2 linked regions of the Pelodiscus sinensis genome follow. The protein of the gene in region 1 interacts with the protein of each later gene in a pairwise test. Links are inferred from orthologs where the notes say so. Each region holds a gene or a part of one and is shown on either strand. Other genes may lie near its edges.

What was found.
Region 2: the proteins of OTX1 (region 1) and COMP interact in binary tests that used the Homo sapiens proteins (3 or more experiments, as listed by UniProt). The two-hybrid records come from large-scale screens. The link is inferred for Pelodiscus sinensis from reciprocal best matches to the Homo sapiens genes OTX1 and COMP.

What each region holds. Positions count from the first base shown.
Region 1 is NC_134713.1:185,274,762-185,282,342, forward strand, and holds the start of OTX1 (homeobox protein OTX1), read right to left. Parts: upstream 3,002-7,581; 5' UTR 2,865-3,001; intron 1,376-2,864; exon of another isoform or gene 1,300-1,375; intron 231-1,299; 5' UTR 98-230; coding exon 1-97. UniProt on the Homo sapiens protein: Probably plays a role in the development of the brain and the sense organs. Can bind to the BCD target sequence (BTS): 5'-TCTAATCCC-3'.
Region 2 is NC_134729.1:19,486,326-19,493,401, forward strand, and holds the start of COMP (cartilage oligomeric matrix protein), read left to right. Parts: upstream 1-4,070; 5' UTR 4,071-4,149; coding exon 4,150-4,228; intron 4,229-6,523; coding exon 6,524-6,609; intron 6,610-7,076. UniProt on the Homo sapiens protein: Plays a role in the structural integrity of cartilage via its interaction with other extracellular matrix proteins such as the collagens and fibronectin.

The DNA.
Region 1 (7,581 bases):
CCGGGTAACCCACGGAGGGGTGCAGTAAGTCCATGGCAGGTCCGGTCAGCCCCAGCCCATTCATGCCATAGGGGGGCTGTTTGAGGTAAGACATCATGCTAAAAGCTGGAAAGATTTTCCCCGATTGATCACAAAAACAAAACAAAAAGTCTTAAAACGTCTTGAAGTCACAAAACGGGTTCTTCCAGGCGAGGGCAGAAAATCCGGGTGCAGAACAGTCTCCTCGCTCCCTAAAAGAAAAACAAAATACACACGGAACAAAAGACAAACATCAGAAGCTCTTCGGAGCGGAATCGACAAAACCCGGTGACTTCGCAGGGCGCGCTACACACCGCTGGGATTCGGAGTTTGAATTCGCGAGAGAAGAGCGGCGCCGATCACATTAAAATGAATCGAAAGCGCAGGGAAGTTTTACCTATTTGTGCGTCTATTAAATTAAATCGGTTTTTTTGCGGGGGGGGGGGGAGGTGGATTGCAAAAAGACACAAGAGCACAGACTCCTGTTCGTTGCAAAGGGAGTTGTATTTCTCTCTTCGCCAAAAAACAACCAACCAACCCACCCAACAAAACAACCAAAACAAAACCCCACGCAGTACAAATAAAATCGAAAGTTTCGCTCCTTTTCGTGGTCAGTATTATTGTTCGAAAGTTGTTGCGCGTCTAGAGAAGGGTGTGCGGGGGGAACAGTCAATATGGCCGACACCCCCCCAAACATAGTGAAATAAAAAAAGTACGAGAAGTGAGTTTTTTTTTTAAAGAGCAGAGCCATATTAGCATACAATCGCCGTGGGGGCTTGGAGGAGGGCACAGTACAAGTGATGGGGGGAGATAAAGCAATTATTTAAAAAGATAATTGGATTAGAAATCAAAACGAGCTATCAAAAGAGGGACGTATAATTAATTTAAGAGAGAGCAGAAGGGGACATTTTAATTAGAAATGGGTAGCAGTTAAAAAAACCCAAACAGATTTAGAAGCACTTTGAAATTCATATTCCAGGGGTTTCCTCCCGTAGGGGTGATAAACAAATTTGCACAAGGGGTGCGTGTGGGTGACGGAGGAAGTTTTCACGTCCTCTCACTAGGGATAAATAAAAGGGGGAATTGCTCTGCCTAGCTGGGTGACCTTACCCGGCTTTGAGAAGTGCCAACTCAAACCCGTCGCCTCACGGTTTCCTGCCAATTCAGTTTGTCTTGCTGTTCTCCAACAGCAAAGAATTTACAAGCGGGACCGCGGAACTGGAATGTATCTATTTCCCCCCCTCAGAGCCAAGTAAAAATTTCCAGGTAAAAATCCACAACCTTGATCCCAGCTCCTGAAATCTCTCTCCGCAGGCCACAGACACCTAAGCACCCTCAGTGTCCGCCACGAGAAAAACTAGAAGAGACCAACCAAATAAAATAAAATCTGAATTCCTGCAACAGATGGTGGCGGCTCTAATCACAAGTAATCACTTGCTACAAACTTTAATTGGGTGCAGGGCCATGTTGTCTCCAGCTGAGTTTCCTGTATTTGCACCAGAAAGATTTAAAAAAGGGGGGAGGAGGGGTTTGTTTGTTTGTTTTCGCCGTTAAGGCCATTTCCAAATTAATTTACATCCTCCAGGGGTGCTGGAGCAATGTGTATAGTGTGTGTGTGTGTGTGTGTGTGGGGGGGGGTAATATGCTGAGCGCCAATGCACCCAACTGTAAACTCTGCATGAGATGGAAAACACGGCACCCCCCGCACCCGTAGTTCCAGCTCCCAGGATCACCTGTTGCACTGGACAGCTGGGATCCCCTCTAGTGTAAATGGGTTTCGGTTTTAGGGTCTGGGTGGAAATTAAGCGCGTCCGGTTTAGCTCGCAGTTTGGAGTGAGCGGACACGCACGCAGGAGGTTTCCACAGGCCTGTGTGCACTTTCCTGCGGATTTCCCGAAAGTACCGAGTCCATTGCAAAGCGTCCTAACCTCCCAGGCCAAGGGGTGCTGTGGAGGCCGATTTATCCTCCCAGAGACTCCCGACCAGCATCGGCGCCCGCGCCTCTAGTCCCAGAGAGCGCCATGGACACAGAAGCGCCCCAGGCCGGGAGAGAGGGCTCCAAAGAGGATCCGTGGCTTGGCGGTGGCGCATCGAAGGCAGCAGGTTCCCCCAGGCCAGGCCAAGCCCTGCTTCCCTCTGAGCGGCTCCTGGAGAGGAGCCTGGCCGGGCCTGGAGTGATTTGGCCCCATTATGTAAGTTTCTTTGCCAGCCCCACAGCGGCACCCTCCCAGGCAGGGGGAGGAGGCGGGGAGAGAACGGCGCCGCACATTCGGCTAAGACACAATCCAGGAGTCCCACACCCACCAGCACCCCCGGGCAGGGCTTCGCCAACCCCCGCGCGGGACCCGCCAGCTGCGCTACCAGGGAGCGGAACTTGGCCGGGGAGTTGCAAAGTCTGGCGGGGACACGCGGGCAGCCCGGAGCGCCTCGCCCGGCTCCACCAGGGGCCAAGGTGCCGAGCCGGGCTCAGCCGCACAAGGGGCCAGGCAGAGCAGACGGGCCGGGGCGCCCCTGCTGCTCCCGGAAAGTCCGGGCTGGGGGGGGGGGGGAAGCTCCTGCAGCCCATAGCGCCGGGACAGATTGCGCAGGAACCAGGAGCCTCACCTGCCCGTACCCCTGGGGCGCTGCCGCTAAGGCCCCGGCCAGGAGCGGACGGGCCAGATTCCGGGCGCTTGCAACGGGCTCCCTACTGTCCCCCTGCCCCGCGCTGCCACCCGGGGGGGGGGGTGAGTGGGGGCGGCTCCTTGCACTTTCTTTGCGGGCAGCGCTAAGTTCTGCGGGGCGCCGGGGCCGCGCGTGGGGCAGGGCAGGGGGGAGCCGGCCCCGCAGCGCATCCAGCGCGTTACCTTGTGGCAGGAGCGGTCTGGCCCGGGCGCTTAGGTGATTGGAAATGTAGCCTGATGAAGATTGATCACCTTTCCACCGCCCTACCCTTGTATGTGAGCGCGAGGCAAGTGCGTAACCGGCCCGGCGCCAATCCCCGGCCTCCCCCAGCCTGACTGACAGCCGCCTTGGCCAATGGCAGCTCAGGATGCGGGTTACCTCTGCACGCCCCCTCCCTCCTCTCCGGCTCCCCACTCCACCCCAGCCCTGCCGCGCGCGCCGGCTCCCCCGGGGCAGGCGGCGGCGCAGCCCCTGGTGCTGTCCTGCCCGGACAAAGCCCGTCCCGGGTGCAAGTGACTCGGGACTAGCTCGGGGGAGGGGCTCCCGGAGTGCCCCGGCTGGACTAGCGTACGCTCCGCCTAGCCCGGCGCCCACAGGGAACTTTCTGCGCGTTTAATTGCTGCCCGTGCGCGTCTGTGTGAAGCTGAGTTGTATTTGCGCGCGCACTGAGCAGCGCTTCTCCCTAGGCGCGCAGCGAGCAAACCTGAACTCCAAGGGGCGACAGCGCCTAGCCGGGCCGCCCGGAATGTGGAGCAAGTTCCTTCTAGTGGGTTTCCCAGTCCTGCCCCAGCCTGACTTTTTCTTCTACGACTCCACTCGCTCTCCCAAAGTTTGCAACCCCCGTTTTTTCGTACGCTCCGGTACGAACCAGGGCTCCTAAGTGCGCAGAAATGTATGTCACGAAGGAAGGCTGGGATGGCTGGTCTGCCACCGGCAACGCCCTGCAAATCACCCCTTTCGTTCCCGTTTGTGTTTGGGCAGGACCTAGGCTGGGAGAGAAGGATTGTGCTGGCCTGGGATGGGTTTCGTTTCACGGGTTTCCCCCTTTCCGAAACATCCCAAGTGCCCGTTCTGAAAATCGGTCCCAACCTTTATTTGAAGCGCGCCGCTCGTGAAACCTACACAACGAAGGAAGCGAAGGGAATGGCGATGGGTGACCATAAACTTGGGCTTTCCCTCTCCAAGCTCTCAGGCCCCACAATGATCTCGACATATATATGTTTAAGTTGCGCCGTCTCATAAATATTAACGAAGGGCCCTAATCTCTTCCTAAGAATCACTCCTTTTTTTTGTAGTTTAATAGGAGAATGTCCAATAACACAAAGGGAAATCTGAAAAGGGGGTAATAATAATAACATGCAAAAAAAAAAATCAACTCGTTGCCAGCAAAATAAATTAAACGCGGCCGGGCATCAAAGTAAGTGTTTTTCACGAGACACTTTCCTTTGGCGTCCCAATAAAACACGGTAACAGAATATCATGGATGCACACTGTTTCCCTAACTGCTTCTCAAAGGGTCCAGGCGATCTTCTTAGGACCTTTAATAAGGCTTTGGTGCGGGTCTTTTGTTGATCTCTCAAAATCAACTCCTTCTCATTGAAGCTGGAGCTGAAAGCGAGCTAATGTTCAAAGGAAGTGACCGCCGGCCCAAACGAAATTACATTTTTTTTCGGGCGATGAGGGGACATCTAATCAAAGCGGGGGGGGGGGCGAGGTAGAAGGAGGAGAAGGGACGAAAGAAAAGGAGGGTTTACAAGATCTTTCTATAGTCCACAAAAGTCAGCGACACGGGCACTTCTCCGGGGAACAAAGGCGCCGCAGCCCATTCACAAAAAGTAAAGGGCTGTCAGGGGACACCAGTCCCGGGGTCCCTACCTTTGCCTTTGTAGGCACAGGGAGCAAGCCCCGCTGAGGCACCTGAACCTTTGTCCCAGGGTGGTAGGCCAGGAGTTGGGGGCCGATTTTTAAGCAGGAAGGGCTGTTCTCCAACGCGCGCCCGGGCAAAGGGAGCCCGGCCAGGCTCGCCAAAAAGCCCATATTCTCGGCTGCGCCCAACTCCCCAGCAATCGGCTCCCGGTTATTCGTGCAGGAGAGGGGGTTGCTTGGCCAGCCGGGGCTCGGCTGCCCGGCCCGCTCCCGCTTGGAGCTTGGCTCTGGCGCTGGGGCTCAGCCCCACAGGCTGGGGCTGGGAGCGGGGAGGTATCAGGTAGCACTGGCCCCTGCCCGTGCAATCAGAGCACTTGTCTAATCCCAAATTGCAGGCGAATTTTCTTAATGCGCAGCCCATAAAAGCCCGGGATTAGGGGGAGGCAGGGGGCACACGGCGCAGAGCGAGCGCGCGAGAGAAAAGTTTGGCGCCGCGCTGGGGGCTGCACGCAGAGGCGGCGGCGCAGCAGCCGCGGCGGAGGCGCAGGGGGGGCGGTCAGGGTACCCCGTCCTGCCCCCACCCATCTCCAGGGACCGCGCTGCAAGGGGGAGCGCTGGGTGCGCACAGGTAAGCGCCTGCGGGGCCCGGCCTTCCCGTAGCCCCTCTCGGCCCCCGGGAGGGGGGTAGGGTCCCAGGGCTGCAGCCGGGCACCGGAGGCGTGTGCGCGGGATCCCGCAGCACCTGCTGCGCCTGGGCAGGACCCCGAGGCACGTGGGAAGCTACAGGGGTTGGGGCGCTCGGGGGGAGGGGGCGTTTGACTGTCTCGCCCCCATTGACCCAGGAGCCCCTGGGCTGGCTGGGACGGGGGGGGGAGGGGCGGGAGTTCAGCTGGCTGCAGCGAGTTTGCCAAACAACCGGGCAATGCCGCGGGGAGAAGCCCCCCAAGTTCCCTGCTCCCTGCAGCGGCCCCGGAGCCTGGGGCTGGACCCTGCTGGCGGAGAACAGCCCGGTGGACGCTGCTTCTGACCCCTCCCCCCGGAGCATTTCAGCCCCTTGGCTTAGTGGCCAGCGCTGCCCTGGAGCGCCCGCGTCTCGCTCTGTGCTCCGTGCCCCAGCATGTCTCCCCCTCCCGGTTCCATGCACCCTCTTCTTCCGCGCCCCCGCTAGCCCACAGCCCCAGCCCGAGGGCTGAGCCACCCCCTGGAGCCCGGGCCAGAGAAACCTGCGCCCGGGAAGGCAAAGCGAGCCGGGCCCAGCCCCTGAACGGGCCAGTTGGAAAAGGCCAGAGGACGCCAGCTGTCAAAACTTATTCCCCCTTCATCAGAGCGGAGGCAGCAGCGAGGACTCCGCCGTGGCCGGTGTCATTGGCACAGGCTCCTGCTCCGCAGCCCAGGGCCCTGCGAGGGCGAACAGCTGTTCGCTGCGAATTAACCAATTCTCCTCTGACTCTTAGGCGCCGAGAAAGCGCGTTAACCTACATTAACCACCCCAAAGTGCGCACTTGTCTCGGGCCAAATCAAGAGCGGCTGGTCCAGCAGGCCGGCAAGAGAGAACACAGCCCAGAAACGGAGGTGATGGGCGGGGGTGATAGAGTCAAAGGGCGAGGGGGAGAAGGAGGCAGATCCGGGCCCGATTCGCATCCCCCAGTGAAAGGAGATAAGAGGTTTAATTCATTTAGCATATGAACCACCTCGGCAAGGGATTCCCATGATGGGCAGATCCGAAGGCACATGCCCAGAGCCCCGGTATTTACACTGGCACTTTATCATTTTAACCGGATTATTCACGAGGTGGATTTGGTAACATCTCGTGTGTTCTCTCCGCACGGGTCAGAAAACCGCGTCTCTCTTCCAAGCCGCGGCGGCAGGCGCAGGAGCAGCTGCTGAGATGGGACTCTCCCCTAGCCCCACTTGGCTGGATTTTGCAGCGATTGGATGAGGGGATTTGATTTTCACCGGGGCTCCATGGCGCAGGAAGGTGGCGGGGCCAGCTCCCCCAAAGTGCCCGCGGAGCCACTGGGTCCCGTCCCAGAAACTTCGCACGAACTTTTCCCCCGGCCTGGGAGGCGCAGATTTGAGCGGCAGCATTCCTGTATGCGCCGGCTGGGCTGTCCTTTCCTAACTGAGGCATGATTTATAGTCTCTTGTAAAACTTCGCTGGCACTCTGAAGCCTAAACCTGCCGCATTATTATTTTCAGGTCTTCCCAATTTGTCGAACAGACTTCCTTTTGTTAGGGAGAGGGCTGGTTTGCTACTGGAATGAGTTGAGCAGGCGGATACAGGCATACGGCTGCGCCATGTCAAAAGTTGAACTTTTTGTCTGGCTTGGTGGTTCTATCACTAAATACAATTTTTTAAAAAATTGCAGTTCGCTGAGAGTTGACAAAGAGCTTTGATCTGGCCCGCTGAGCTATAAAAAGGCAAGCCACTGCAAAGGAAGGTGAAGAAAACGATGCACTGTGGCCAGTTCTGAAAATCTTGGACAAAGTAGCAGTGACCAGAGGTCTGATTTGCAAAATCTTAATGTAAACCGGAACAGGTTCCAAAAAAAGAGAAATTGGAACCTTCTTGGACAAACAAGACTTGTATCTGGAAAAGTTTTACAAATAAAACCAAGGCCATGGCTTTTTAATCCTCACCCCCAAAAGAAAATTCTATTTTTGTATCTGAAGGTGTATCTTTTGCCTCTAGACTGGTGCCAGGTAGGAAGCTGTTGCATTTGCAAATCATTTTTTACAAATTCATTTTAAAAATTAAATAAACCTTTCCCCATCTCCCCTCCCCCCAAACAATCAGAAGTAAACTTTTCACACTGGGAAGAGAAGACAGCAACAGTTAACGGTAAGAAAGATTCAGCTTTTATTGAAAATTTATATATGACTCAGTATTGTAATAAATAACAGTTTTCACAAAAATGAGCGAGCAATGGAAGCAAAAGGAACTCTAACTGAGAGGGGGTTTGCACACAATGGCAGAACAGACTTTAATAGCTACTGAATAAATATGAACAGCATTCTGGAGCCAACAAAATG
Region 2 (7,076 bases), on another chromosome or scaffold:
CACAGAGCTGGCCCTAGAACAGTAACACGGTTTTATCTATATTTAATAGGGTTTGGCGCTTCAGTTTTGAAACCCTTCCAGTGTCGTTATTCTGCATTGGATTGATTCCCCCACTGTCAATAGCGATAGAGATTCTCATCTCATCACTGAGTTTCCCTGCATTCTGGGAGGGATCTGCTGCGTTTGTATCAATTGGGACCTGACAAGATCCTCGTATGTTGCAGTATTCACCATGGACTTCGCTGGAGTGACCTGCGATTTAGGGTGATGTCACTGAGGCTACGTCTAGACTGAAGGCTTCTTTCGGAAGAAGCTTTTCCGGACGAGATCTTCCAGAGAAACTTCTTTCGTAAGAGAGCGTCCACACAGCAAAAGCGCATCGAAAAAGCAATCTGCTTTCTCGAAAGAGAGCGTCCACATTGATTGGACGCTATCTCGCATTTAAGCTGTGTTTACAATGGATGGAGTGGCCACTAGGGCACCTGTGCTTTTTTCTGGAAACTTCTTCTTTCGAAACCCCCTCCTCTTTCCCATCCCTACGTGCCTTTTTCCGAAAGAGGTCTTTTGGAAAAAGGCTTCTTCCCCGTAGAAAGAGGTTTACTACAGTCAGAAAAACCCCTGCAGTCTCAACTTTCTGTCGAAAGAATGCAATCGCAGTACGGACATAAGTGTCGTATTTCCGGAAAAACAGCCATTTTCCCGGAAAAGCTCTAGAGTGTAGACATACCCCGAAAAGTGAAGCAGGCCCAGATTTCAAACATGGCACCTAAGAAAATGCATTTCAGGGGACTGTTCCATGCTTGCGGCATTGGAGAGAGACCCATCTTCTGTAGCCTGCTGAAGAAGTCTGTATTCTATGTATATAGTTAAAAATACATGGGTGTGGGTGGATGGGGAGGGCTTTGGCTTTGTTCTGTCGAATTAGTAACAGTTTGGCATACACCAATATGCACTAGGAATGAGGCCTACAAGGGATTGGTGGTGGGATAGCTTAGCGGTTCCCCCCCCCGCCCGGATTTCCAATTCCAACCTAGACCAGGTGGGGGGACTGAAAGTTGCCGACATCTGATGTGCACAGAACAAACATGGAGTGGGGAAAATGCCTGTTTCTAAAACGCCCAGCAGGCAGTGGAGGGTGGTCATAGGGTGTTAATCTGAGGCTGAGGATACTGAATGGGCGATGGAGACGGCCCTTTCCTTCCAGCCTCCAAATCTAGATCCTCTACCCCACCCTGCCGGCAGGGGGTTGGCGTGCAGTGAAAACGCTCTCCTGCCTCTCATAGCCCGACACCCCAGCCTTTCCGGCTCTACGTCTGTGGCATCCCAGCACCATGCTGAGTCCACAGAACAATCTCTTCTCTCGCTCCTCCGCGGGGGGGAGTTAAAACGAACCAATCTCAGTGGGTGTGAGGGATAGGAGTGCCGGCCTCCTACAGGGCTAACCTCAGGTAGCTAGGGGTGTTGTTGACAGGGAACCAGCACCACCAATGGGCTACAGTGCTGAAATTTAAATTGTAAACATATTCCTGCGCCCGTTTGCTCTGTCGGGAGAGTTAAGCCAGGAGGGGAGAGACACAGGATGGTTTAAACCCAGCCAGGACTACCATGCCTCCCAGGAATTCGCGGCATGGGAGTAGACTGACCAAGGAAGGGGAAAATGTGTATCTAGGCCCCTGAGGGGGGGAGCTCAAATGATGCCCCCATGTCGCCTCGCTTGGGCCAAAACTTTGAAAGGTCTCAGTTCTCTGGGTCCTAGTGGCGTCTCCTTCCAGTCTGGCGCCTGAAGCGGCCGCCTCAGTTCACCTCATGGTAAGGCCAGCCCTGATCGAGTGCCAATCAGGGAATTTTTCTTTATTTTGGGTCGTTTGGTTTAAACTTCTCTGTGGGAATCTAGGCCTCCCTCTCCCAGTCACCATTTAAATCACTGCCCAAAAGACAATGGTTCTTTGTGTTTTGATTTGTTCTTTCCTGGCTGCTCCGTAACATCTAGCAACCCAGTACACTTTATAGCATGTATCTCGTTCGTTTTGTTAGTCGACATCACTGTCGTAAGGTGACGATTTGACTGTTGTGTCCTGGAAAGTAACGCAGGTCTGTGCAGGGCCGACTTATCCATTAGGCACAGTGCCTAGGGCCCACGATACTTTTAGGGGCCCACAAAAATGTTTGAATTTCTTTTAAAATCAGAAGCAAAGAAAATGAACTTTTAGGGTGGAAGAAAATGTTTTAATTTTTTTCCTCACATCAGAGAAAAATGAAACTTTTAGGGCCCACGACAATCTATTACATTTTGCCTACAACAGAAAAAAATAAAATGTTGAAGTATTTAAAGTTATATCAAAAATAATTTTTAATATTTTTTTTTATGGAGGAAGGAGTCACGAAGGCAAAAGTGCCTAGAGCCCATGAAAGTCATAATGCGGCCCTGGGTCTGTGTGTGTGTGTTTGCCGGCCTGTGACTAGGTGCTTAACTACCAGAGACAGCAACTTGTTTTTCTCTTTTCTTTTTTTTCAAGCTTTTTTGGGGCAAAAGAGCTTGGTCAAGTGTTCCCCTCCCCCCCCCCCCCCAAAAAAAATTTTTTTTCAGGGTAAATCACTTGATGGTGGCAGCTTTTGTTTTCGTTGTTCTCAGAGCCTGGGCATCTGAGAGTCTAGGACTACATCTAAGACCACAAGCCTCTTTCGAAAGACAGCGTCTAGACTGCAACCACTAAAGTGAGCACCCAGGCAGTCTGGATGCTCTCTTCTGAAAAAGCCCTGTTTGCGTTCAAGAACACCTTTTTTCAAAAGAGCACTTTTGAAAAACAGGCATTCTTCCTTGTGAAATGAGGTTTACCGTGGCCGATAAACCTGCCGCATTCTTTCGATTTACTGTCGACAGAACGCGGCGGCAGTCTAGAGGCAGGGGAAGTTTTTTCGAAAAAATCCTGTAGTCTAGACCCACCCTGGGAGTTTTTAGAAGCGGAGCCTAGAGCACGACTACTCAACACGCCGCCCCCGGGTGGGATCCTTTGAACACGGCCTCCACTGGGAACACGCTCTACAATGGCAAAGTGTCTCCCAGATGGGGTGAGCATTGAAAGACACAAGCGGACGGGCTGGCTGGAACAGACAGATACAGGGTGTCGGCATTTCTAGCCCCCAGGAAGGAGGTGCCGGGAGCGCCTGGGCATTGCGTGAAATAATTCATTTGCATATATTTGCACGTATATGCAACCACACTTAAGTTGCGGCCCTCGGCACGTCCTGTGAGCATCACTGTGGCTTCCGGGGTTTCCAAAGTTGAGTAGCCCTGACTTAGAGGCAAAGGCACTTAAAGTCATGGTGGGACCCCACCTCTGCATGCCGAGTGTCAAAGTGGGGACCAGCCCTGACCAGGTGCGTTCTGCTAAATTCTCTACCTCGCTTAGACGCGGAAGGTTCCACGCTGGGTGAATTAAAAGTTCCCAGCCTCCGCTGATTGCTTCCTTAGTATTAGGCTCGTGTGTCCGATGGGATAGGAGGTAAAGGAGGAAATGAGGGGAGGGATGTCCTAGATTTGCTAGTGGGGGGTCCCACATGTTCTCTATTCTAGCCCCATGGAAAGTGACTGAACGGGAGAAGCAAGGGACAGTTTTGTCCTCTTGGCTGTCAGAGGATGGGATATTTCTGCTGCTCAGCCCCAGTGGCAGCACTGTCTTCTGGAAGTCCCAGAGCCCTGGATGAAACTCTCGTTAAGCCCACATTCACCGTCAGCTGATGCGCTCTTATGAGCGATGCAAGGAGGAAAATGCCACTGGAGCCAGGGTGATAAATTCCACCCCCCGAAACAAAAAAGTCATTGAACCAAAAGGGAATCCATTTACCTCTGGAATTTTCTGACCTTTTTGTGGTGCAAGCTGATGTGGGTTTTTTTTAAATAAAACACTGTAAGTTGCTCTTCTGATGACTTTTTCATATTGTTTACTTTTGTAACCCTTCCCTGTGGACTGGGAGCCAGAAATGACGTCCACCCCTCGTCCAGCATCAGAGAATAAGAACTTCAGAGGAAGGAATGCAACTTCAGAAAGAGCAAGCCACAGACGCTAATGGGGAGCAGAGGCAAAGCTGCAGGTTAACAAGTTCTTTGCAAGAGAAGCCCAGACACCCTCCCTGCTCTTGGATCCAAGCATGGTTTCGGCTCGAGCCTTCGTTTTCCTCCTAAGCCTCTGGTGTCCCTTTGCATCAAGTCAGATGACGAGTACAGGAGGTAAGTGGGTTTTAATCACTTCTATGTGCGCGGCCCTTCTCTGCAAACACTGCGGGAAGCGAGAAAGCAGCTGCCAGGTAAAGAACACCTGGTGATACCTGGTCGATTTTTACCCGTTGGAGTGTCATACAAAATCTTGAGCCAACAGGTTTAAACATTCGAGTTCTAGGCTGTTTTTCCCCTCTGTTTATCGATGTTTTGACAAATTAGCCTCTTCCTACGGCAGCAGAAAGGCCCCCATTTTTTGTTATTTTGCAAACAGAACGTGCCCTTGGCAAAGCGTCTTTGTTTTGCAAATGATGAAATTAAAGCCCTTTTGGCTGTAGGGTGTGCTCTGGCCGCTACCTGGGATTTCTGTGCGCCCTGAATTCACACACAGCTCAGAGGAAAACTAGCCCCCTAGGCTAGGAAGTCAACCCCTTGTTTTCAGAGCAGTGCCTCGTTTTTGTCACTTCCTGCCTCCGACGAAAGGAGTTGCAACTCACGAAGGTTTGTGCCAGAATAAAATTGTTAGTGATTCAGGTGGCACCCGGATCCTCCTTGTTCCCTGGCAGTATGTCGGGGGTTTTGCTCAGCGCCTGATGAATCCCTGACTCCCACATCCAGCAACCTGAGACCTAAAAGACCAAGTTCCACAGGGCACAATGTGTTGATGGAAAGCATGAGGGAGGGGAAGAGTAGGGCCTGCCACACACAGGGATTAGCTGGGATTGCTTAGAGTGAGAGTAAAATAATTAAAGACCCACACAGAGACCTAGCTGCCCAGATGTGATTGCCCCAGGCAATCTTGTGTGTTCACTTAAAAACAGCATCCTGCTCTTAGGGACAGACAAACCCTTTTGGATACAATCGGAGGATCTGACCTTACCCAGCAGCTAGAACTCGCATGGAAAATAGTGATAGAGATGTAGCCGTGTTAGTCTGGTGTAGCTGAAACAAAAGACAAGACTACGTAGCACTTTAAAGACTAACAAGATGGTTTATTAGGGGATGAGCTTTCCTGGGCCAGACCCACTTCCTCAGATCAATATGTGGAAGAAAATCAGCACAACCATATGTACCAACGTGATACAATCAAAAAAATGAACGCATGTGAAATTGACAAATCAAATTTTAGAACAGAGTGGGGGTGAAGGGGGAAGGTTAGTTTCTCTGAGGTAATGACCTGGGGAAGTTTCTGTGAAGTAATGACATAGGGGTGATAATTGGGGTAGCTATCTTTGTAAAGGAAAATGTTTGTGAGGTTGAAAAACGTCTGACTACACGCTCTGGATAAAGGGGGATCAGGGGGCTTCATTTGGTATTTGACTTCGTGTTTGGAGGTTAGTTCCTAGACCTAAGCATGCTATAGGGCAGGAGTGAGGGAACCGTATCTGGGTCACTGATATGGCCTCCGACTGAGAAGCAGAAAGACACCAGTGTCTAGGCAGGCCCAGGGTTGTAGATTCTGTGAGGGAGCGGCCGAGAGGGTTCCCCAATGTTGGGGTGAGAGTCCTGAGCCTCGAGGGCTGGATCCAGGTGAGCTGGGGGGGGGGGGGCGCATCTGGCAGTCCTTACGGGGGGTTAAAACGAAGGCCTTGAATGTCATGGCAATCTCGAGGGGGATCTGGCGAGAAAGAAAGCCTTTTTCGACAGATCCTTTATACCTCCTGTGAGGTGGTTTACAGGATCTGTCATAAAAAGGCTTTCTTTCTCGCCAGATCCCCCTCTAGACTGCCGCCGTTTGCCGACAAAGTGCCGAGTCGGCAAAACGTGGTGGCCATTTTTATGCAAATGAGGCCCGGGATATTTAAATCCCTGCCTCCTTTGCAATGTCGACCTGCCTAATCTGCATCCCTCTGCCAACAGAGGGACGCAGTCTAGACACCCAGCTCGGTCGGTGCCCATTCACGGCCTTCGGGCCGGCTGAGGTCTGGGGCTGCCCCTCATCCTGCGCTATACACTGACTTCTGTCCTACTGCCCTGTCAGCAGCAGCCCCCTCCTGGATGCAACCAGCACCAACTTACCACGCCAGCCTGCCTCCCTGCCACATTACCAACGCCTCCCTCTTGAGGGGGGACTGGCGAGGAAGCTCTGGCGCTCTAGTCTGACTCAGGGCCGCTGGAGTCCTGTCACCTTCCTCCTGGAGCATGCAACTCCTCGTTCCTCCCAACAGCTGCCTCCTCGCCACACGCTGGGGAGGGGAGCCGCTGCTAGAGGTCGTGACGATCTGGAGAGGCGGAACCGGGCAGTACAACACCGAGGCGAGCAGACTGTTTGGCAGGCTCCGCCCCTGACGCTCCTGTTTTCTCTAGGCAGGGATGTGGAGCGCCAGATGCTTGCGGAGATGAGAGAAACCAACCTGGCGCTGAAGGAAGTCACCGATTTGCTGAAGCAGCAGGTACGTGAGAACACGGCCTGGTTGCCTCTCGCCCGCTGCCAGAGGGACCCACGAGGCCGCTGCCTTGCACGCAGGCCTGTTGAATAGGGGGATTAAAATGGACACGCTCATCCCGTGGGAAGAGCCTCAGGTGATAGAATCATAGAGCTGGAAGAGACCTCAGAAGGTCAAGTCCAGCCCCCTGCTCTAGGCAGGACCAATCCCAACTAAATCAACCCGGCCAGGGCTTTGTCAAGCCGAGAATTAAACACCTCTAGGGACGGAGATTCCATCATCTCCCTAGGGAACCCATCCCAGTGCTTCTTGCCCTCCTAGGGAAATAGTTTTTCCTAATGTCCAACCTAGACCTACCACACTGCAACTTGAGCCCATTGCTCCTTGTTCTGCATCTGTCACCACTGAGAACAGCCTCTCTCCATCCTCTTTGGAACCTCCCTTCAGGAAGTTGAAGGCTGCTCTCAAATCCC